3 linked regions of the Alligator mississippiensis genome follow. The protein of the gene in region 2 interacts with the protein of the main gene of each other region in a pairwise test. Links are inferred from orthologs where the notes say so. Each region holds a gene or a part of one and is shown on either strand. Other genes may lie near its edges.

Region 1 (7,973 bases), on a different chromosome or scaffold from region 2:
GGCCCAGTCATTCCAGGAAGTGAACAAAGACTGAACTTGGACTGCTCCCACATGGCTGTACTAAGCAGTAACATTTAGGTTATTAAGCTGGCCCACTTAGGTAGGTTCAGGTAGGACAAATACTAACTATGTCTGCTGAAAATAGTGGAAAGTTACACCTGCACGACCTCCTCTTCCCCCCAGCCTTGAAAGGTGACAAAACACTTTACTTTGAGTAATCTTAACTATACACAGGGCTTAATTCATGCAACACTTAAATATAGCTGTGGCCAAGTTCCCTAGAAAGCAGAAGATACATGCGGTCCCTATACATACTGACCCAACAAGAATATCAATTTTATTTTGTGCTTGTTCATTTCTTAGAGTCCTTGGAGATTACTTAACAGATTCCTAGAGCCCTGGGGCTGGAAGACGGCTCCAGGTCACATCTAGTCCAACCCCTGCCTGAGGCAAGATCAGCCCTGTTCAAGCCATCCCATATAAATCCACAGTCAATCCTGATGCAACACAAGACGTAATGCCCTAACCTGCCACAAGTAAAGCCAACATCCTGCTGCAGCAAAGATCATTAATTGCTCAAGAGATCCCAAGTAGAGGACACACCTCCTACTATAGAAGGCAAAACTCCAACTGTCTGGACCAACCTAACCAGGGGGTAAAATTGCTTCCTGACACCAAATATAGTGATGTTAGACTCCCCACCAGCAGGAGGGGAAAAGATTCCTTTCCGACCCATGGGTCAGCCAGAAAAGCCCAAAAGCAAAGAAATCCCCACGGTACAGCATAGGCATCGCTACACCAGATCATCCCCAGCCAGTGGCTGTCCAACCTCTCCTTGAACCCCTCCAGCGAGGGAGTCTGCACCTTCCCTGGCGTCTATTCCTCTGCCTCCCTGCTCTGACAGTCAAGAAGTCTTTCCTGAAATCCAGCGTAAAGCTACTTTTTGTTTTGTCTTTGCTGCTGCCGGCAAGTTAGCTTGAACTTCTGACTAGCCTCTAATGGCCTTTGGTCTAAGCATCTTTCTGACAACTGAAATATCATACTGCATGCTTCAGGAAGATTTGCTGCTGCTACTTTGGAAACAAAAAAGGAAACTATCCCAAAACCAGATGGTTTGGGGGGTGAGAGGAGAGAGAAAGGACTTCATGATCTTACAGAGAGAAGCATCTGCTTGCCATTTGATGGTAGCCATTTGGCTAAATCCAACATCTAGAAGCTCGGATCCTGATGCAGCTGGTAAAGAGATTATATGTATCTCTGGTAAAGAGATTATATGCATCTCACTGCAGGGGAAGTCCCGTTAGGTAAAAACGGCATCCAAAAATACCACAGAATTACATCGCCCGTGTCTGGCCCCTTCCCCCACGCTGTCAGCGAGGAGCGGTGCAGCCAGCACCCAGCTCTGCCTCCTGCCCCTGTGCTAAGCATAGCCACAAAACCGGCATGCACACCTCCTTCCCCGGAGCCCGTCATGCTTGCGCTCCTCCTCCTGCTCTCGGGCTCAACCTTTGCTGCAACCTCGGGGAGGGAGCGAAGCCCTTGGCCAGCAGCTCTCGGCCTGCCACAGAGCAGTGGTCCCTTGCCTGGACTCGAACCTCCCCCCCACACACCTGCAGTCCCTGGACAGACTCGTGGCCTCCCAGATGGACTCATACCCCCACCCCAGATGCCTCCACCCAGGGGGGGCCATCAGGCTACAGCAGGGGCCACAAGTCTAAGGTACCCAGAACAGACTCACGGCCCCACAGATGGACTCACAGCCTCTGGATAGACTCGAGACCCCCAGAGAAAGACTCATGCCCCCCCTTGGATGGACTCAAGACCCCCACATCAGACTCACCCCCCCCCCCGCATTGGGCTTGCCGGCCCCTGCATTGACTCCAGATCTGGATGGACCTGAGACCGCCCCTCCCCCCAAAAAAACACTCGTAGCTTCCCAAATGGACTCATGCCCCCGCCATGAGTCCATCCAGGGGGGCCATGAGTCTATGTGGGGGAGGGGCAAGTATAAGACCCCCTGAACAGACTCAGGACCCCCCCCTCCCCCCACGCCAGACTCGGCACCCTCCAGTTAGACTCACAGGATCAACTCAAGACCACACTGGATGGACCTGGGACCCCCCAGAACAGGCCCTCCACCCCCTGGCTGGGCTCAGGACCCCCCTGGATGGACCCAGGACCCCCAGAACAGGCCCTCCACCCCCTGGCTGGGCTCAGGACCCCCCTGGATGGACCCAGGACCCCCAGAACAGGCCCTCCACCCCCTGGCTGGGCTCAGGACCCCCCTGGATGGACCCAGGACCCCCAGAACAGGCCCTCCACCCCCTGGCTGGGCTCAGGACCCCCCTGGATGGACCCAGGACCCCCAGAACAGGCCCTCCACCCCCTGGCTGGGCTCAGGACCCCCCTGGATGGACCCAGGACCCCCAGAACAGGCCCTCCACCCCCTGGCTGGGCTCAGGACCCCCCTGGATGGACCCAGGACCCCCAGAACAGGCCCTCCACCCCCTGGCTGGGCTCAGGACCCCCCTGGATGGACCCAGGACCCCCAGAACAGGCCCTCCACCCCCTGGCTGGGCTCAGGACCCTCCTGGATGAACCCAGGACCCCCAGAACAGATCCTCCGCCCCCTGGATGTGCTCATGGCCTCCCTGGATGGGCTCAGGACCCCCCTGCATGAACCTGGGACCCCCAGAACAGGCCCTCCGCCCCCTGGGTGGACACAAGCAGACCCCCATTAGAGACTCAGCACCCCCTGGACGGACTGAGGATCCCGCTGGACGGGCCCGAGCAGCCCCTCCCCCCACGAAGTGGGCTCCGCCCCCCCCCGCGCGGTCCCCATGGCAACGCGGAGCCCCCACCCTGCCCGGCGGATACAGCTTGAAGCCCCTCAGGATCTCCTTGGCCCGCTCGTCCTTGGCCGACATGGTCCCGCGGCGCTGGCGCCGCCCCGGGCGCAGGACAGGACAGGACAAGACAGGACGGGTCGGGTCGGGTCGTGCGGGCTCGGGCGCGGACCGCGGCGCCTCACAGCCCGCAGCCGCCACGACCCAGCCCGGGCGGGGCCAGCCAATGGGCGTTCGCCGCTCCGCCCCCCGGTGCCGGACGGACAGCGCCCACAGCCAATGAGAGCGCGGCGCGGCCTGGCAGCCAGCAAGGGCGGCTGCGCAAGTAGGGGCGGTGGAGGAGACACGCCCCCTCCCTCTTGGCGACCTGACGTCGCCGCGGGGATGGGAGCCGCAGCGGGACAAATATGTGCGAGGGGCGCGGCCGCTGGGGACTGCAAAGGGCGCGGCGCGGCGCCCCCTGCGGGCGCCACGTGAGAGTGCGCGAGACACGTGCGGGGCCCCGCTCTCGCACCATGTGCGATCCGCAGGGATCCGCGTTTTCCCTGATTTCAAAACATCCTCACTTTTCGGTTTAAAAAAAAAAAGGAACCCCAAATCCACATTTTCCCGTGATTAAATGAAAAGCCACTAATATAGAGATATAGACATAGTGGTCTTTAAATCATGGAAAAATGTGGATTTGGGGTTACTTTTTTTTTTTTTTTTTAACCGAAAAGTGAGGATTTTTTGAAATCAAGGAAAACCAGGATCCCTGGCAATCAGTCATAGTAACAGTGTTCAAATGGCCCCGCATTTTGGAGACAAGGGTCTTCGTGTAAATCTGATATCTTTGATTAAACCAACTCCAAGAGTTGGGAAAATTGTTCTTTGCAAGCTTTGGGGTAGAAAGCTGTCATTTTGGAGGCAGCTCCTTGGCGCAGCATATGCAAAACCCCAGTCACTCTCAGGTCATCTTTGCTAACTTTTGGGTTTGCGGCCAGCGTTTTGCTTTGCCTGGGAATAAAGAAATGCTTCATTTTTGATGGCCCAGCTCTCACTCACTTGGAGTCACACAGCAATGTAGAACAAAGAAGAAAGCTTATTTGCATACTTTTTCAGTGTATTTTGAGTTTCCAATGTAATAATTCCATATTTAAAACCTGGCAACGCCAGACCCTGTGTGCAAGCCATGTGCAGGGAAGGGTCCCACTGCCCCTTCCCAGGGGAGGAGGAAGCTCTCCCTTGGGACCCCTCCTTATTCGGTCTCCCTCTGCTGAGAGCAGCCCTGCAGCCAGGTGCTTCACAAGGGGCTGCTCCTCTGGCTTGGAGACCCTGGCTCCTCTCCACCTCTGGGAGCTCCTTCTTTTCCCTCAACTCCCAGGAAGCAGGGGGTGTTTTCTTCCTGTAAAGAAGCAGGGTTTGGGGGCACTGATAGTCTCCACCAGCAGAGCGGACTCTGCTCCATGACACGGGATGGGGATCAGGGAGTCACTGTGGATGGTTTACTAAAAACATTGCGTCAGGGCCCGGCTGCCGTCAAGAAGGCAAACACCACGTTCAGGAATATTGAGGCAATCGTGAACACAACGGAGACTATCGTGATGCCCCTTTGTAGATCCATGGGGCATCCACACCGTAAATATTGCACCCGGCTCTGGTCCCCACACCCCAGAAAGGATGCAGAAGAAGTAGGGAAGGGCGACACGGATGATCAGTGGCACGGAGGGGCTGCCATCGGGGGAGAGATTAAGGAGGCCAGGCCTGTTCCACTTAGAAAAAGAGACGCCTCGGCGGGGGTCGTGATAGGGGTTTACAACAGGGTGGGCAAAATACGGCTCGGATCTGGTCCACCAAGTGATTCTGTCCAGCCTGTGCTGGGTCCCTCTGTCCCACATAGTCCAGGCGTGGGGGGCAGCCTGGGCTGTGGCGTGTGTGGCTGGTCCTGCCGTGCCCAGGAGGCGGTGCAGTGGCTGATTCAGATTCACAGAAGTTTGGGGCTGGAAGGGACCTCGTGAGACCATCGGGCCCAGCCCCCCTGCTGTGGGCTGGATAGACTGCGGGGGTCAAATAACCCCAGCACAGTGTGCGTCCAGTCTCCTTTGGAAGAGCTCCAGGGTAGATTCATAGATTGTAAGGGGCCGGAAGGGACCTCAGAAGATCATCGCGTCCAGCCCCCTGCACCAAGCAGGAAAGATAACTGGGGGTCAGGCGACCCCAGCGAGGTGACCGTCATCTCCTCTTGAAGATGTCCAGGGTCGGTGATTGCACCACCTCTGGAGGGAGCTTATTCCAGTCTGGACACCCTGACTATGAAGAAGTTTTTCCTAACATTGAGCCTGAATCGATCTTCCAGGAGTTTGTGGCCATTACTCCTGGTTTTCCCCTCAGGTGCCCTGGTGCACGGTTGCTCACCGAGCCCTTGATGTACTCCCCTAGTGCAGCGGTAAGCTGCTACCAGGTCTCCTCTCACCCTCTTTTCCTCAGGCTGCAGAGTCCCACGTCCTCAGCCTTTCCTCGTATGCCTTGCCTTTTAAGACTCTGATCATGCGGGTGGCTCTTCTTTGGACTTTCTCAAGCTTGTCCACGTCCTTGTTCAAGTGCGATGCCCAGAACTGGACGCAGTACTCCAGCTGTAGTCTCACCAGTGCTGAGTAGAGCGGAAGAATCATTGCCTTGGCTTTGTCGGAGATGCATCGATTGATGCACGCCAGAGTACTATTTGCTCTGCTGGCTACAGCGTTATACCGCCGGCTTATATTCATACTGTGGTCTGTTATTACCCCCAGGTCCCTTTCATTCGTGGTGCTGGTCAGTTTGGTGCTGCCAAGCCTGTAGGTGTGTGGGGGTTGCTCGTCCCGAGGTGCAGCACTTTACATTTCTCGATGTTGAACTTCATCAGATTCCTGTCCACCCAACTTGCTAGCCTGTCTAGGTCCACCTGTATCTGTAGCCTATCTTCAAGCGTGACCACACTCCCCGGTAACTTGGTGTCATCCGTGAACTTGGCCCATGAGCTCTTCACCCCCACAGCCAAATTGTTAATAAAGACGTTGAAAAGTACAGGACCAAGCACCGACTCTGCCGGGACGCCGCTGCCCACTTCTTGCCAGGATGACACAGATCCGTTCACTACGACTGGGTTCTGTCCTGCGGCCAGTTTCTCACCCACCTGACTGTCTCGGAGTTAAGCCCACAATCCTCCAACTTTCTCAAGAGGACATTGTGGGATACTAGTTCAAAGGCCTTTCGGTAGGTAGGTGCCTGCACCAGCCCCACCCGGAGTCTATTCCAGAGTCTGGTCACACAAACCATGAAGTTTTTCCTTATATCCAGTCTGAAACCTTCTTCTAGGAGTTTATGTCCATTGCTCCTGGTTTTCCTCTGAGGCACTTTGGTGAATAGTTGTTCATCTAGCCCCTGATGCTCTCCCCTGATATATTTGCAAGCTGCCACCAAATCCCCCTGAAGTCTTCTCTTTTCTAAGCTGAACAGTCCCAGATCTGTCAGCCTTTTCTCGTATGGCTTGCTCTTCGGGCCTCTAATCATACGAGTGGCTCATCTCTGGACTCCCTCGAGCTTCTCCACATCCTTCTTGAGGGATGGCTCCCAGAACTGGACGCCTTACTCCAGCCGCAGCCTCGCCAATGCTGAGTAGAGCAGAAGAAAAACTTCCTTCGTTTTGTTTGAGATGCATCGGTTGATGCACGCCAGCGTATTGTTTGTTCTGCCAAATGTAGCATCACACCGGTGGCTCGTATTCATTTTATGGTCAATTATGAACCCCAGGTCCCTTTTGGACATGGTGTTAGGTACCGTAGCACCACCGAGCCTGTAAGTTTGTGGATTTTTCCTCCTCAGATGGAGCACTTGACACTCCTCAGTGCTGAACAGCATCTGGTTCTGGTCCACCCACCTAATTAATGTGTCTAGGTCTGCCTGGATCATCAGCCTACCCTGATGTGTGGCCACACTTCCCCACAGCTTAGTGTCATCGGCAAACTTTGTCAGTTTGCTTTTCACCTCCACATCCAGATCAGTGATGAAGATGTTGGTGACATCAATGATGTTGGTGGCATTCATGTGGTGGCAGCTCATTCTGCCCGGCTGTTGCTGCCAGTGTCACCACTGCCACCACTGCCAGACCCGGCCCCATTGCCCAGGCACCCCGGCCCATCCACCCTGCACGCACCACCGTGGGTGCTGGACAGAGCAGGCGGGCAGGTGAGGTCTTCATGGGGCCTGGCCCAGGACTGCTGCAGGCAGAGCGTGTTCAGCTGGGTAGATGGGATGGGGCCGCAGGTGTGCGGGGAGCAGCATCCAAGAACAGGACAGGCAGCCAGGGCTGGGGCTGGAGCCGAGATCATGGGGCAGTGACAGTACAGGGCCGAGGCCTGGGGCAGAGTCACGACCCACTCCCCACAGGTCCCTGTGACGGGCGCTGGTCCCGTGGGCAGAGACGTGTGGGGAGTGGATTGTGGCTTTGCCCCAGGCCCCAGCCCTGCCCTGTCGCTGCCCCATGATCCCAGCCCCATCCTCCCCAACACTGCCCCCACCCCCGCCTGCAGTCCCTTCCCTTCTGCCCGGCCAAGTAGATGCTGCCCGCAGGGGTCCTGGACCAGTCTCCATGCCTGGCACCTCTGGCAGTGGGCGCAGGCTGGACAGGGCTGGGGCCAGACAGGATTAGTTGCACCCCACCTTTGCCCCCTACCCCCCATCCACTGGGCCAAGTCAGGACCCTCTCCTTCCCCTCGGTCTGCAACAGCTCCTGAAAACTCCTTAAGTGGCCGTCCAACCCAAGGAATTGCCCACCCCAGCTTACAAAATACTAAATGGCAAGGAGAAAGTCAATAGGGGTTTATTATTTTCTGTCTCTCACGAGACAAAAACGAGGGGTCCCAGCATGAAGCCAGTAGGTAGTAAGTTGGAAACTACCAAAAGGAAGTTCTTTTTCACTCAGCGTGTCACTGCAGCATGGAGTTCAGACGTGGTGGGAGCGGACAGCTCAGCCAGATCCACCAATGGGTAGGACATGTCCTTGGAGGAAAGGGGCATCAGTCGCTACTGAGCACAGGAGTGGGGTGCACGACCTCTGAGTCACAACTTCCTGGACCTTAAATGCTGGAGGCTGCAAGTGAGAGAGGAACA
Region 2 (7,910 bases):
AGCTCCTCCCGGGTATGGAAGAAAGCACCGATGTTTCTGTTTAAAGGCTGGCATCATGGACTGCCGGGGGTGGGAGATGATCTAGGAAGCCGGTGAATGGATGTAAAGGACCAAAAATGATGGGTCTTGAACAGGACCTTCGTAGCAGCGCTCTGGGTGGAATATGAGCGCAGCAAAACTCAGGCTTGTCGTGGCTAGGGGAAAGGGTGGCAGAGAGGTTAGGATGTGACATAACCATCAGTGAGAGAGTGCCATTTTCTGGATGAAGATATTGCAATATATATTTATATGGCACAGTTTCAAAAAAAATTCAGAACCCAGTATTGAATATTATGTGCCGTCTTAAGAGAGAAACAGAGCAAGCTGGAAATGAGGGAAAGTTACCACCATAACCTTCAGAGAATAAGGATGTGTGGTTGAGGGAAAGCATGTCATTTCTAGGTTTTAAAATACCCACAGAATCACCAAAGGACTTTTTGTTACAGCTCCATGCAGTAATCCTGTTTTCTTTAGGAAAAAAGCTACACGTATATAAAAATGCAATGACATTTATAGACCTAGCTATGGGGTTTGCGGGTTTATTCAGCTTTAAATCCAAGCTGTATGGCTTTCTAGAACTAGCTGATGCATGTAACTGCGTTCAGTGCCACAGAAGCAGTTCAAAGCAAGATTCACATTTATAGGCCAAATAAGAAATTAGTCTTGGGGGAAGAGAGCATTGAAATAACCTGTGTAAATATCCTCTTGGAACGGAGGATATAAAGGGTGTAATGGAGGGAACAATCTCCTGTTATGTTCTGAGCTTAAAGATGGGGCCTTGCAGTCAAAAGAGAGCAGAGAGTCGCGTCCCTAGAAGTAAATAGCTTCTCTTTAGCTGCATTAGCCGCAAAGCTCAGATAATGAATATAAAATATAACTGCTGGGAAACCTGCCCTTGGTTACCAATAAATGTTTGCCGAGCAGATGTGGCATTAACGACAGCTCCAGCGAAGTCTGCTCAAGTACAGGCCTACTGCAAAGAGTTTCGCTACCCAAACCATCGCTTGGACCACGTCGACTCCTCTCCTCGCGTCTTCCGCTGGCTCCTACCCCTCCGTCTCATGAAGCGCAAACTATTTGTCTGTACTTTCAAGGCCCTTCATATCCTCTTTGCCGCTGCGATGTCAAGCCCAGTTCCAGCCTCCATCCCCAACTGATTACATTTCAAGCCGGCGCCTCTGCTGCCAGATGCTGGGGGAGGCCTCCTCATAAAACAGCCTCCTTCTCCACCTTGACGTCGATGCCTAAAAAACTTTGTCCTCTTCCCAGGAGCTGAACTGCTGTCACCACCGCCGACCACACTGACCCGACTGTCTCGCTGCTCCCTGGACCTTGCAATGCGTCTGTAGCCCTACGTGGTCGTTAGCCTCATGGGTAGACTGTACGCCGAGTGGGGCAGAGACCGTCTCTCTACTGTGTGTTTGAGCAGCATGGACTCTCGATCCGCAACCTAGGAGCCCCGATCACGGACTACGGTAGGCAAGGAGGGTCTTTGGAGAAGGTGTGGCTGGATTTACACCGGACTCACCAGCCGTTTCGGGCAAATGGTGTGTTGTACCCAATCTCTCGCCGTCAGCCGCAGTTCACGTGCGGCGCATCATTATGCAACGCGTGTGGAGGGGGGGGAATCCTTCCCGACGGCGGCACCTGACTGACTGATGCCCGGATGAATGACGTTTGATTGCCTTTCTCCGAGCCCGCATCGCCACAATGTTCCTAACGGTCATCCAATCACCCAGCCTTTTTCGAAATACAACCACAGTAAATTAATCTATTGAGCGCACTTTATTCAGTACTTCTTACGCTGGCAAAACTCCCAATGAAGTCATTAGCTTGCTGTGTCTCCACCATATGGTGTCATTCAATGCGGGCAATTTCTTTCCGTGCCGAAGTCTAACATTTGCCGGATTCAATTCACCTAGACAGCTTTCCCCGCTCAAACCCACTGACGCAGCTTTCTGTCAAAAGAGGTCACACGCCGGTTTCTCTTTTGCCGCCCTGCAAGAGAGCTACATCTCCAGCTTTTGCACGTGCAAAATTAAACGGGCTCTACGAAAACAGAGGGGAGGGGGGAAAAAAAAAAGTCGAGGAAGCCGAGCGGAGGAAGTCTGGGCAGATTTCCATAGGAAGAAAGCTCGCGCGTGAAACCTGCATCTACGCGCTTCAACCGGGACGCTGCCAACCTGCTCCTTTCCCCGCGTGAAACGTAGGTCTCTTTTCTAGAATACCGACACGTTTTCTCCGGCCGTACCTTGACGGCTACCGGCGGTCGGCGCCAATTTTAAGACCTAATTAAAGCAAAGGCCTGACGTAACGGGCTCGTACGAGGAGGAGAAAGTCGCGGAGCTCCTCGGTCCGCTCTCCAGGCGTCCTCGAGGGACGCCGGTTTTCAAGTCGTGTCTCCGGCAGCTCGCGGTCGGGGGCGACGATCCCCGAATCCGACGCGGGGTGTTTTGCGGGGCCGGCTGATGCCTGCGACTCGGTGTTGCCGTCTGTGAAATGGACCCTGTTCCCGAACGCCGCGGCACGGTCCTGTCTCGGACGGACGCCGGTCACCGCCGCCGCGCGCGGAGGGAGTCCTCTCCATACCAGCCTTCCCTCGGCGCAGAGAGAAACGGCGCGTGCCGCCCCGTCGCCGCCGGCGGACATAGGACGGCGATGCTGCCACGCCGCCCGCCCGCCCACCCGTGGGGTTTGGTCACGACAACCCCACTGCCACTGCCACCCCGCCGCCGGGAGCCCCTCCCCCAGCCCTGGCGGGGGCCCGCTCCGTGCCCCGCTTCCCTGGCGGGGCCCCCGTGCCGCCCCTCCCCTCCCCTCCCCTCCCCCGCCCGGGCCCGGGCCCGGCCCGCGCCCCCCCGGCACTCACCATCCTCTACGCGGCTCCCGGGTTACCATGGGCAACTGCGTCATGCACGCCGGCGCCGCCGACGTCTAGCGTCACCCCCCCCCCGCCGCCGCCGCGGTGACGCAGGCACGCAAGGACGGAACGTGCGCGAAGCGGCGCGTGGAGGAGGAGTAGGAGGAGGAAGGGGTGGGGAAGGCCAGCCCCGCCCCCTCCCGGGCTGTGAAGCGGGCGCATGCGTGTTGGGCGCTGGAGGCGGGGTGGGGTGGGGTGGGGCGGGGTGGCTGCGGGGCGCTGATTGGCCGGGGCGGGCCACGCCGGCGGCGCCCACGTGGGATGGAGACGCGGCAGGTAAGGGGGGCAGCGCGTGCAGTGCGGGGGGAGGGGGGTTGCAGTGCGCCGGTGTAGTGCGGCACGTGCCAGCGATGCGCAGGTGGGCCTGTGCAGCGTTGGCTTGTGCAGCGTGGCCTTGAGCAGCACGTGCCAGCGATGCCCAGTGTGGGCGCAGTGCTGGCGTGTGCAGTGCTCGACAGTGCAGTGCGCCAGTGAAGCGTGGTGGGGCCCCGCGCAGCGCCCGGGGCGAATGTGGCTGCTGTGGCGGGGGGGTGCAGTGCAGCGCAGTGCAGCGCAGTGCACACCCAGGGGTGGGGGAGCCCAGGGCTACCCCTCGGGGTGCTGCACATCCCCTCCGCCAGGCCTCCAGCCCCTCGCCCTCGCCCGCAGCGTTTTGACGGCGCCCCCCGCCTCGTGGGGTGGCGTGCGGACCCTGTTGCCAGCCCCGTTTGCGGTCAGCGAGCGAGCGAGCGAGACCCCCGCCCGCCCGGCGCGCTGGGCAGTAACCAGGGGGTTAATCTTGACTCGCAGGCCGGACCCGCCCGTCCGGGGTTCACGGGGCTGACCGCGTCCCCAATTAGTAACCAGGCTTTGCAGGGGATGGCGGGACGCTGGGCGCCTTTTGCCCCCGCGGGCACCGGGACAGGAGCGGGGTCAGGGGCCCTCGCGACGCCGTCGCTTCACCACCCCCGTCCCCGTGAGAGCAGGCCGGGCCGCTTCCCAGCTCTGCTACTGCCCTCCTGGGTGTCCCGAGGCATGTCCCTTAATCTGCCTGTACCCCGGGCACGGAGCAGGACCTAGCCCCGGTTGGCCGCTGCCTCTTCTACGATTTCCCCCGTCTGAAACGGGCGCAGGCTGCGCGTCCCCTCTTCCAAGTGCCTCGTGAGGATCCTCGGGGTCCCGTCAAGTGCCCCAGAGAATTGCGAAAGATGCAGCATTTCCCAGGCAGTGATGGCGCTTTATAAGTCACCTTTTTTTTGCATTCATCCAGGGAATAATTAACTTTCTCTAAGACTCGGTGTGTGCGCAGCTGGCGAGCTCCAGCTAAGAGCCGGCAGCTGGGACCGCGCTCACGGTAAGTCAGCTTGAAACCTCCTCCTAGCCTGGGAGTTTTTGGCATGGGGCTGTTCCCAGTGCTTGGATCCCAGGATCTTCCCCCTGCTCCCAACCATTAGCCGTTGGCTATTTCGTCCGGTGCCGCCACCTCCAGAGCGCTGCAGGCAGCGGTTGGTGGTTGCAGCCAGCTCTGGGGAGGCAGGTGAGTCTCCTCGTTGCAAGGAGCCGTAGGGAAGTGGGGATGTCCCAGGTCGCAGTGAAACCCCTCCCAGGCCCACGTTCTCGCCATTGCTGCCACACTAGACCTCAAACACGATCCTACTTCGTGTTGACCCTACGAGGATCGTGGAATCAGCAACGTGGCAGGTTCCCGCTGGAAATGTTGGGGCTCGTTGTGAAGTATCCGTGGCAGATGGAGCTTGTAACCTCTGCAGACCCAACAACGATATCCGGGACACTTAAAGGAGTGCATGGGACTGGAGGGCAGCTGCAGTGTCTGAAAGCCCTGCCTGGGACAGCGTCGCTGGCCTCAAAGGAAAGGATCGGAGGGCTCTCGAGCTCTTTCAGCCCAGGCTGCAGGGTCCCCAGCGAAGCACCCACAGCCGTGGGGGGGCTTTAGGATCGGGGGCCTGCGAAACATTAAACCAAGGTGGTGAAGCAGTCAGGCCGGGAGGTCCAAGGGAAGGTTTCTTTCTCAGGGTTGCAGAAGTGTCGGATCTGGCTCCATATTCAGTATTACCCCCCAGCCATGGCTTGGTTAGACCCGTGATTCCCACCCGGGTGCTGCAGCAGCTTGGGGGTCCCGTGAGATCCTTGTAAGGGTGGCGCGCAGCATTGCAACTGCCTACGTGTGATTTACAAGCTCGGCCCAGATTTCAAATAAAAATCTGTAGTGCCAAACCCCTTTGGCAGTGGGGGGCTGTCTGAGCCGTTTTGTAGTCGTGAGGGGCTGGATGCTCGAGAGATCCCAGGCAGAAGCCATGCGCCGTGCTATGGAGAATGACCATCCCCTCCCAGTCCGTACCAATTTGATCATGGTGGGGAAAATTCCTTCCTGACCCCAAATGGGATCAGTTTGAGTAGAGGGGCCCGATGATGGGCTCAGAGGGCTGGTTTAAGAGCTCTGTGATATGCCCCTGCTTCAGCTCTGCTTAGCCAGCGAACACGGTGGCTACATGGCCACCTCCGTGCCAGCAGCTCTTGGATCCTGGTGCCATGATGGGGATCTCGGTCCCTGTTTGTAGGGAGCAGCTCCCGAGTGGGATAAAAGTCACGGCCTGTGCTGGGCACAGAGTCATAGTGAGGTCGGGCTGGCAGGGCCCTCTGGTTGCCACGTCTGGTCCAGCCCCGTCTGAATCATCCCTGTCTACGAGGCACGATGGAAGCTGGTGGGTTGTATTGGTTTGTTAAGAGCTGGCTTGCAATCGCCCCCATCGCTGCACATCAGTCCCTATAATAAAGCTTAGGTGGTGATGCACCAGGGATGGTGCACAGGTGAAAGCTGCTGTGTCCCCCTCCAGCTGCTTGGAGCTACTGGCACCCTTGACCTCCTTGGTCAATGGACTTGGCCATTTTGACCTTGACCTTGGACACGGGAGCTGGTGTCGTGCTGGAGCGGGAGCCTAGCGGGGATTGCTGCCTGCACAGAGGCCGAGCCCCAGGGGCTCTGACCCCATGCTAGGCGCTGTGCAGATATGTGACCGTGGACCTGTCCATGTTACGCTCGTGCCCAAAGGAGGATTTTGCCGATGGACCTACCTCGGCTTGGGTGGGGTGCAATACTTCGTCATGGCCCTGAACCAACAGGAGATGGCAAAGGTGGGGTTGGCTTGATGCCTTGTATGGTAGGGGCTGAAGTCGGGGTCTGGGTCCCTCTTTGCTGGGTGAACACCAGCAAGCCCTACATCGCCATGCTGGGAGAGTCTCGCAGTGCGGACGAGCCCATGACATGGGCTTATTCACTGCTTCTCTCTCTCCCTGGGCTTCTGCGGGGTGGCCTGGGACGGGGGGCGTTACCAGAGACAGGTTGGTTGCGGAGGCTGATCTCTGGGCAGTGTCGGGCATGGGAGAGCGGGGTCCGTTTACCAGTGCTCCCCTTCTCCAGCTCCGCCTTACAATGGCACCCGCTTCGGCCAGCTTCGACATCGATACCCCGCGGTGGGACCAGACCACGTTCGTGGGGCGCCTCAAGCACTTCTTCAACATCACGGACCCACGCACGGTGCTGGTGTCGGAGCAAGAGCTGGACAGGGCCAAGGTGCTCGTGCAAGGCTGCAGGTACACAGCTGGGCAGCCCAGGCGCCTGGAGGCCTTTCTCAGGGCTACACCGTGAACCATTGAGGGGTTGGGATGGGGGCGACACGCAGCACGAGGCTCCTCACTGAGCCCTCCCGGTGGGGGTTCCCATCCAGCCCCCGCGGGTAGGAAAGAGGTGAGCAAAGCCTTGCACTCCTGCCGACGGGGGGAGTTTGAACCTAGGGCTCCGGGGTACCGCGAGATCTGGTGGAAGGAGTCGGGCGGCCTGGCTCCCACGTACTGGAGCACGTGTCATTTGGGTGTATAGCTCCCTGATGCCCCATGGCGGGGGAAACCAGGCTCTCCCAGGGGGAAACCCTTTTTCAGCAGAGCCCTGCCTCAGGCACCTTGGCAGGACATCATGGGTGGAGGATCATGACGGCAGGGCACAGCTGTGCCCAGGTGGGTGCCTCCCAGGTGCTGATGGCTCTCTGGTTGGCAGGGCAGGCGTCGTGCCGCCGGGGACCAGCCAGGAGCAGCTGCTGTATGCCAAGAAGCTCTACGACTCGGCCTTCCACCCTGACAGCGGGGAGAAGATGAACCTCATCGGGAGGATGTCGTTCCAGGTGCCCGGGGGCATGGCCATCACGGGCTTCATGCTCCAGTTCTACAGGTAATGCTCCCTGGACAGGTTGGGAGCCAGGGCGGACGGGGCGGACCAGTGCCCCTTGGTGGGAAAAGGCTGTTGGACGGGATCTCGCCCTCACGGCGTGCTGCAACGTGATGAGCAGGTCTCGCTTGCAGCAGGCGTCTCCTGCATGCCAGGGCGCCCTTCAAGGGGTTGCAGCCTCCTCCCTCTCCTCCCCGTCCTGGCCCAAGCTGTCGTTGCATCCTGCCCTCTCTTCCTCTGCCACATTTCAACATGCCAGCCTTTCTGGGAGTGACGCGGTGGGGGCAGAAATCCTGAATTCAAGGACAAAACGCGACCTGCCTGGGAGGCTGCAGGGAGCGGGAGGGCGGTTTTGTTCCCTGCTAGCAGCCGGTGCCAGAGCTGCGGTGGAAGGAGCTCAAGTGCCCTGGTTCCTAGCCCGGTGCCCTCTTCTCTAGGTCACGCTTCATTCAAGTGTGTCGCTCCCTGATGCCCCGTGGCAGGGGATACCCAGGCCAGAGGAGCACTGGCCACTCTTTCTGGTGTTTCCCTGGTGGGGTCCAGTTGTGCTGGGGCTTTCCAAACTGTCTGGGAGGCTCCACACTCCCTGAAACGTGGCAGTTTCTGCCTGTATGTCCTTCCCCACCCCCATCTCTAACACAGCCTAATAGCGGGCTCAAAACCAAGTCTGCAGTGCCTGATGGAAATGTCTCCTGGCCCCACCAACCCTCCCCGTTCTCCCTTATCTTATTA
Region 3 (7,632 bases), on a different chromosome or scaffold from region 2:
GTGGATGTCGTCTTCCTGGACTTTAAGAAGGCCTTTGACACGGTTTCCTGCCACATTCTCTTAAAAAAAAAAACTTGATGACTGCAGCATTGATGCCTACACTGTCAGATGGGTGGCAAATTGGCTAGATGGTCGCACCCAGAAAGTGGTGGTGGACAGGTTGTTTTTGATCTGGAGGGATGTGGGCAGTGGTGTCCCCCAGGGCTTGGTCCTGGGGCCTGTACTGTTCAAAGTCTTTATCAGTGATCTGGATGTGGGTGTGGAAAGCACGCTGTTCAAATTTGCTGACAACACCAAGTTGTGGGGTGAGGTGGGCACGCTGGAGGGGAGGGACAGAATCCAGCTAGATCTAGCATCATAGGCGAGCCTGTAGGCGAGCATCATAGCCCAGCCTCTAGCACGGATCTTTGAAAACTCTTGGCGCTCTGGCGTAGTGCCCAAAGACTGGAAGAAGGCCAATGTGGTGCCTATCTTCAAGAAAGGGAGGAAAGTGGATCCGGCTAACTATAGGCCCATCAGCCTGACTTCTATCCCAGGGAAGATCTTAGAAAAGTTTATTAAAGAGGCCATCCTTAATGGACTGGCCGACGCCAACATCTTAAGGGATAGCCAGCACGGGTTTGTTGCGGGTGGGTCTTGCTTGACCAATCTCATTTCCTTCTACGACCAGGTGACCTATCATCTGGACAAGGGAGAAGAGATTGATGTCATATATCTTGACTTCAAAAAAGCCTTCGATCTGGTTTCCCATGATCACCTCTTGGTGAAACTGGCCAATTGTCGCCTTGGGTCCACCACAATCCACTGGCTGGAAAATTGGCTCCGGGGTCGGACCCAGAGGGTAGTAATTGATGGAAGTCACTCATGGTGTCCTGTGACCAGTGGGGTCCCCCAAAGCTCTGTCCTTGGACCCATACTGTTCAACATCTTCATTAACGATGTGGACACTGGAGTCAGAAGCAGACTGGCCAAGTTCGCCGATGACACCAAACTTTGGGGCAAAGCATCCACCTTGGGAAGAAAAACCCGCAGCATCCTTATAGGCTCGGCAGTGCTATGTTGGCTAGCGCTATGGACGAAAGAGACTTGGGGGTCATCATTGACCACAAGATGAACATGAGCCTGCAATGCGATGCTGCAGCTAGTAAAGCGACCAAAACGCTGGCTTGCATCCATAGATGCTTCTCAAGCAAATCCCGGGACGTCATTCTCCCCTTGTACTCGGCCTTGGTGAGGCCACAGCTGGAGTACTGCGTCCAGTTTTGGGCTCCACAATTCAAAAAGGATGTGGAGAAGCTTGAGAGAGTCCAGAGAAGAGCCACGCGCATGATCAGAGGTCAGGGAAGCAGACCCTACGATGACAGGCTGAGAGCCCTGGGGCTCTTTAGCCTGGAAAAGCAGAGGCTCAGGGGTGATCTGATGGACACCTATAAGTTTATCAGGGGTGACCACCAGTATCTGGGGGAACGTTTGTTCACCAGAGCGCCCCTAGGGATGATGACTAGGTCGAACGGTCATAAACTACTACAAGACCGTTTCAGGCTGGACATAAGGAAGAATTTCTTTACTGTCCGAGCCCCCAAGGTCTGGAACAGCCTGCCACCGGAGGTGGTTCAAGCGCCTACATTGAACACCTTCAAGAGCAAACCGGATGCTTATTTTGCTGGGATCCTATGACCCCAGCTGACTTCCTGCCCTTTGGGCAGTGGGCTGGACTCGATGATCTTCCGAGGTCCCTTCCAGCCCTAATGTCTATGAAATCTATGAAAATCTAGACAAATTACAAAGGTGGGCAGATGAGACTAGGATAGAACTCAATGCAGACAAGTGCAAGATACTGCATGTAGGGAGAAGGAACCAGCAACACACCTACAGGCTCTGGAACACCCTTCTTGTTAACATGGTGGCAGAAAGGGATCTTGGAGTCATTGTTGACTCAAAGCTGAACGTGACCCGCCAATGCGAGGAAGCAGTCAGTAATGCTAACCACACCTTGTCATGCATCTACAGATGCATCACAAGCAGGTCCAGGGAGGTGATCCTTCTCCTCTACATGGCATTGGTCAGGCCACAGTTGGAGTACTGCATCCAGTTCTGGGTGCTGCACTTCAAGAGAGATGTGGCTAGCATTGAGAGGGTCCAGAGGAGGGCTACTCGCATGGTCAAGGGGCAGCAGGGCAGGCTCTACGAAGAGAGGCTAAAGGGCCTGAACCTGTTCAGCCTCCACTAGAGGAGAATGAGAGGGGATCTGGTGGCCCTTTACAAACTCACCAGGGGGGACCAATGGGAATTGGGGAAGGCACTGTTCCCTGTGGCACCACCAGGGGTTACTAGGAATAACAGCCACAAATTATTAGAGAGAAGGTTTAGGTTGGACATTGGGAGACATTACTTTACAGTTAGGGCTGCCAGGCTCTGGAATGGGCTCCCAAGTGAGGTGGTACTCTCTTCTACCTTGGGGGTCTTCAAGAGGAGGCTGGACAGACATTTGGCTGGAGTGATATGACCCTGGCACCCCTTCCTGCCCGGGGTAGAGGGTCAGACCTGATCTGTTTAGGTCCCTTCTGACCCTAAGCACTGTGATACTGTGAGTTAGACTAGTTCTGCTTGGAGAGCTCTTTATATCCTCTTCCTACTATAACATCCTTAGGCTTCTAGAGCTCTACAGAGACATGTCTTTTGTCTATGAAAGGAAATATTTGAGAAGGAAGCACCTAGAAGGTTGAGTGATGGATCAGGGTGACTTTATAGTATAAGGAGATCAGAAGGGGAGGTATACGTATTAGTGCTGTGCTTCACCACCTTGAATGGAGTTTACCTGGAAGGAAAGAAACAGATTTTAAATACACAAATGGTGGAACAGCCTTTGAATTATTTGGATAATTTAGATGTTTGCTATTGTTCTATAACTACAAGAAATTTAAGTGCTAGACTTTAACTTGTAGAATAGCAGAGTTAAAGTGGAGTTTTATCAGGTTGCATCTGCTTTCAAAATCAAAAGTGTTTTGAACATTAGAACTTGCATGCTTTGCAAGTGGGATATAAAATAAACACCTTACCTGAGGTTAAGCAGCTTTTGGCTAAACCTTTCCTGATTTTTTTGTATGATTTCATTTGGAGGGAATGGAAAAAAGGCCTTGAAGGACTGCAGCCCTAACAATTTGGGAGAACAGAACCAAGATTTTGAATTTGAATCAGAATTTTCTGGGAAGTTGATGGCAACATCCAGCACCAGTGTGCTGCGTTTGCAGCAGCTTTGTTATACAACAGGTAGGCTGCCACAGTTGCCACCAGCTCAAGCTTTTTTCAGGTGGTCTCCTTCATATTCAGATAAATGTTTGAAATAGAGTTTAAAGGTCGTACATGTGGCTTGCGGTTCAATAACCAAATTGAATGGAATGGGATTTTACAGAGCAGTGAGTTACTGGAACAACTACAAGTAAACTTAGCAATTGCCATGAATCACTCATTTTGACAGTCTCTCTCTCAAACTTGTATTGACTTGGAATATTGTACATTCAAAAGTGTACTTAACAGTGTAATTGTAAAATTAGGACTTCCTCACATTGTGCATGTGAAAGCAGTCTATTCAGTCAATTTATTTATTTCATAGGTTTATAGAAAACTAGGGCTGGAAGGGACCTCAAAAAGTCTACTCCAACCCCCTGCCTCCGGAGCAGGACTGTTTCCCAAGTGGATCATCCCAGCCAAGGCTTTGTGTACCCAGGCCTTAAAAACCTCCAAAGATGGAGCGTCCACCACCTTTCTGGGTGACCTGTTCCAGTGCTGCACTCCCCTGCTAGTGAGAGAGGTTTTTCCTAATATCTAACCTGATATTTCCTTGTAACTTGACCATTGGCTTTTTTGAGTATCTGCCACCACTGAGAACAGTCCAGCTCCATCCTCTTTGTAACAACCTTTTGAGGTATTTGAAGGTTGTTCCTGTTGTTAAAGGGCAGTGCGCTGGAATTGGCATCCCTTTAACATGACTCAGTACGCATGTAACGTCCACGGGGGGGCGGGCTGCTAACACAGCCTCGGCCTTCTCCGAGCTCTGGCTGCACAGCTGTGCTGTCCGAAGCACCTGTCTGATCTCCTCTGGGTCTGGCCTCGCCCTTGCGGCTGCCCGCTTGATTTCTGTCATTAAACCGAGTGCCCAGATCTCAGGCCCGGCAGCCGGTGCCGGGCGGCCTGTGCGAGGCGCGCGGCCCAGCGGGGTGCGCCAGGAACTGCGACCGGCGGCACGTGCGAGACGCCCCACGCTCCCGCCCGCCATCGTCACGCCGCCGGGCCACCGGGCGCTGCACCACCCAGCCGGGGACACGTCACCACTGCCGCGCTCTCCCATTGGCCCGGCCCTTTCCCTTGGGGGCGGCCCCCTCGCTCAGCATTGGCTGCAGCTGCCGGAAGGAGGCATTTCCTAGGCAACCGGGCAGGACATAACCGTCCAGTGGGGAGGCCTGCCCGGCTCGGCCGTGCGGAACGTGCTGCCCCCGGGTGCCCGCGGCGGGGCCGCTGTCCGGGGCCGGGCGTGCGCAGCCAGCGGACAGAGCCCCGCTCGTGCCCTGGGGCAGGGGGTGGAGCGGCCACGGCCTCCGCGTGTGCGCGCGCTGGGCTGCCCCCGGCCGGGGGCCGCGGTGTTTTCTCTTTTCCCCCCGGCTGCTCATTCCGCAGGTGAGGCGGCGGCGGCGATGGAAACGGCAGAGGAAGAAACCCTGGAAACGTGGGTGTCCGTGTGAGTGGCCGGAGCTCCGCGGGGTTTGGCCTCGGTTAAAGGAGCTTCACGGCTCCAGGGCAAGAAACCCGCGGTGTTAGGAGCAGGTCCGAGCTGACTCTACCCAGCCCACGGCTCGTCCCTCGGCCCACCTGGCCCCAGTGCAGGGGGCAGCCTGGGCTGTGCTGTATTGGCTGGTTCGGCCACCCCGGGCATGCAGCAGGGTAGGGGCAGCACAATAGCCAAGTTCAGCTTCCTGGCGGCCCCTGTAGGCAGCTCACTCAGCCCACTTACTGCCACTAGTGTCTCCGCTGCCACCAGACCCAGCCTCACTGCCTGAGCACCCCAGCCATCTGCCCTACACCCACCACTGGACAGAGCAGGCAGGCAAGGCCCCTGTGGAGACCAGCTAAAGACCCCCGCAGGCAGGGTGCACTCATCCAGACAGAAAGGATGGGGCTGCAGGTGGGTGGGGAGCTATGTCCAGGAGCAGGATGGGTGGGACTGGGTCCAGGACCATGGAGTAGTGACAACATGGAGCCGGGGCAGAGCCACGATCCGCTCCCTGCATGTTCTTGCCTACGGAACCGGCTCCCAGTGCGGGGGGGGGTGTGGGGAGCTGATCGTGGCTCTGCCCCAGCCCCATGCTGTCATTGCTCTGCAATCCCATCCCATCTGCGGGGCTGAACACACCCTGCCCTCAGGGATCCCCAGCCAGTCTCCAGGGAGACCCCACTTGCCCACTCTGTCCAGCACCCTTGGCGGTAGGTACGGGGTGGATGGGCCAGGGGCATGATAGGATCAGTTGCCCCCATCCTCCTTTGCTCCTCTGCTGTACTGGGCCAGTTCAGTGCACCCCCCCCCTCGCACCCCCCCAGCCTACAACAGCTCACCAGAACTCCTTAAGTGGCCCTCAGCCCAAATAATTGCCCACCCATGTGCTAGGCTATATAGTGGGATTTAGCTGTTGTTTGTAGACTTGTCTTAATAGTTTTCTTCTGCCTTCAGGTGGCGTGTCAGACTGCTGTTCATTCGTGTTTTCTGCATGTGCACTACCAGCATTTAACATAGAGGAGTGTCAAACTTATGTGGTTTCGCAGGCTTGCTGTGGTACTTGGGGCCAGTCTGCAGGCCAGATTGGGCCTACAGACTCACCCTTATGCTGTAGCCAGCCCACAGGGCAACATGCCTTGGACCAGTCTGGCTTCAGCCCTCATGCATGCTGGCCCTACCCTTGCACATGGCATGTGGGATGAGTCCAAGCTGTGTGCTACACACAGGGTTGGTCTGCAGTGTGTGTAGCACCTGCACTGGACCGGCTGTGTGCTGGATCTGGCACTGGCGGCCAGTCTATGGGCCTGATCCAAAGCAGCCCTGGATCCAATGTGCAGGGCCAGTCCAATGCAGGTGCTGCATAAAGTTCACCCCAGACTGGCCCTGTCATGTTTAGCCCACATGAAATGGGCTTTACACTGCATGCAAGGCCAGGGCAGGGCCAGCACATGCTGCCTGGGGCCAGTCAGGCAGCGCTGAAGGCAGGATGACAGGGTTCTGCGCGGTGTATTTTTGATGCCCAACTTAACAGATCACAAATGTAAGCATTGCTGAACTTTATTTTGCTGTAAAAATTATTAACAGCAAAATAACTTTGTAGATTATTTTTTAAAAATATGGTTTGAAGTAAGATTCTTCTTTGCATGAGAGAGATGGAGAACAATTTCCATACAAGATAGTCTGTTGCTTTGGCTAAGGAACATAGTTCGCAAGTGTGCCGCCAGGTTTTCACCTTTGATGTGAGGAGGAAAAAAGTCTGTGCCCCTAAAACATACTGAGGAAACTTTTTTTTTTTTATAATTTACCCATAACCCCAAAACTGCTGCCAAATGCCAGAGTCAGGGAAGCTTTGAATTATTGGATGTCTGTAGAAAACATCAAGAAACATAAAATTGGCAGAGGGACTCAGTCTTCTGAGGTGCTGCTAATGGGATTCCTCATATAAACAAGTCTGTTTGAATAAGGGCATGTAGTTTTTGTTTTCTTGTTGCAAAATAACGGAAGCTACTAATTCATTTTTAAGTAGGATTTAGCAATCCATATAGATAGGGACTGTTGTATCGGCTGATCGTGTAGGATCTGTAGTTTTGCATCCCAAAAGTTAAAAGTTTAGTTTTGACTCTTTCATCACCCTCTTTGTGATTATGTTATATTGGAAAAATGTTAAATAATTATTTCCAGTAAGTACTTTACTTTAGTTAATCCTATTGTGTACATTTTTTTTTTTAGTTTATATGTGAGTGAGTGTTTAGGAGATGATCAGGACTACAGTTTAGCAGTATATGAAATGGGGATTGAAGCTTTATTTTTTTCACATGGAGTCATAATTTGAAAAAGGTGTAGGCTGCTGGTCCAAATGCAAGTCTTCAGTAATTTCTGGAGCCTCTCCAAGAAATGAATTTACACTAGTAATAATGCCCTGCAGAATAAAGCTTTGTTTTCACCAACTAGCTATCCTTAGTATCTGATGGAAACTTAATGAGATTAAGGCCTGCCACAGGGATTAATAGTTTTAATATCAAGTAATTTTTGTGTGCAGTGAGCCTTTTTTATAATGTAAACCAGGGAAAGTATTCATTTTGCTGATGTGGTATCAGGGTAATTGCACTAATTTATATTTAGGGTTCCATTAACAATTTAAGACTAATCTTCCTTTTTCTTGTTTTCAGATCTTCCCCTTCAGAAGCAGAATTTGATGCTGTGGTTGGGTATTTAGAGGATATTATAATGGGTAAGCTCCTGCATCTAGATGTGCCTTAAAATAAGCAATAAAAGTATTGAGGGGCAGGATATACATTGCATTCTACTGATAGAAGCATGTGGAGTAAGCAGCGCAGCCCCTGCCTTCCCTCTGCCTGCTTTGA

What was found.
Region 1: the proteins of ARL3 (region 2) and PDE6D interact in binary tests that used the Homo sapiens proteins (3 or more experiments, as listed by UniProt). The link is inferred for Alligator mississippiensis from reciprocal best matches to the Homo sapiens genes ARL3 and PDE6D.
Region 3: the proteins of ARL3 (region 2) and ARL2BP interact in binary tests that used the Homo sapiens proteins (3 or more experiments, as listed by UniProt). The link is inferred for Alligator mississippiensis from reciprocal best matches to the Homo sapiens genes ARL3 and ARL2BP.

Annotation. Positions count from the first base shown.
Region 1 is NC_081830.1:84,859,936-84,867,908, reverse strand, and holds the start of PDE6D (retinal rod rhodopsin-sensitive cGMP 3',5'-cyclic phosphodiesterase subunit delta), read right to left. Parts: upstream 3,061-7,973; 5' UTR 2,928-3,060; coding exon 2,878-2,927; intron 1-2,877. UniProt on the Homo sapiens protein: Promotes the release of prenylated target proteins from cellular membranes. Modulates the activity of prenylated or palmitoylated Ras family members by regulating their subcellular location.
Region 2 is NC_081829.1:99,163,650-99,171,559, reverse strand, and holds the start of ARL3 (ADP-ribosylation factor-like protein 3), read right to left. Parts: upstream 3,015-7,910; 5' UTR 2,912-3,014; coding exon 2,909-2,911; intron 1-2,908. Other genes in the region: SFXN2 (sideroflexin-2), read left to right, coding at 6,062-6,091, 6,378-6,550, 7,011-7,181. UniProt on the Homo sapiens protein: Small GTP-binding protein which cycles between an inactive GDP-bound and an active GTP-bound form, and the rate of cycling is regulated by guanine nucleotide exchange factors (GEF) and GTPase-activating proteins (GAP).
Region 3 is NC_081833.1:37,228,207-37,235,838, forward strand, and holds the start of ARL2BP (ADP-ribosylation factor-like protein 2-binding protein), read left to right. Parts: upstream 1-4,582; 5' UTR 4,583-4,691; coding exon 4,692-4,735; intron 4,736-7,437; coding exon 7,438-7,499; intron 7,500-7,632. UniProt on the Homo sapiens protein: Together with ARL2, plays a role in the nuclear translocation, retention and transcriptional activity of STAT3. May play a role as an effector of ARL2.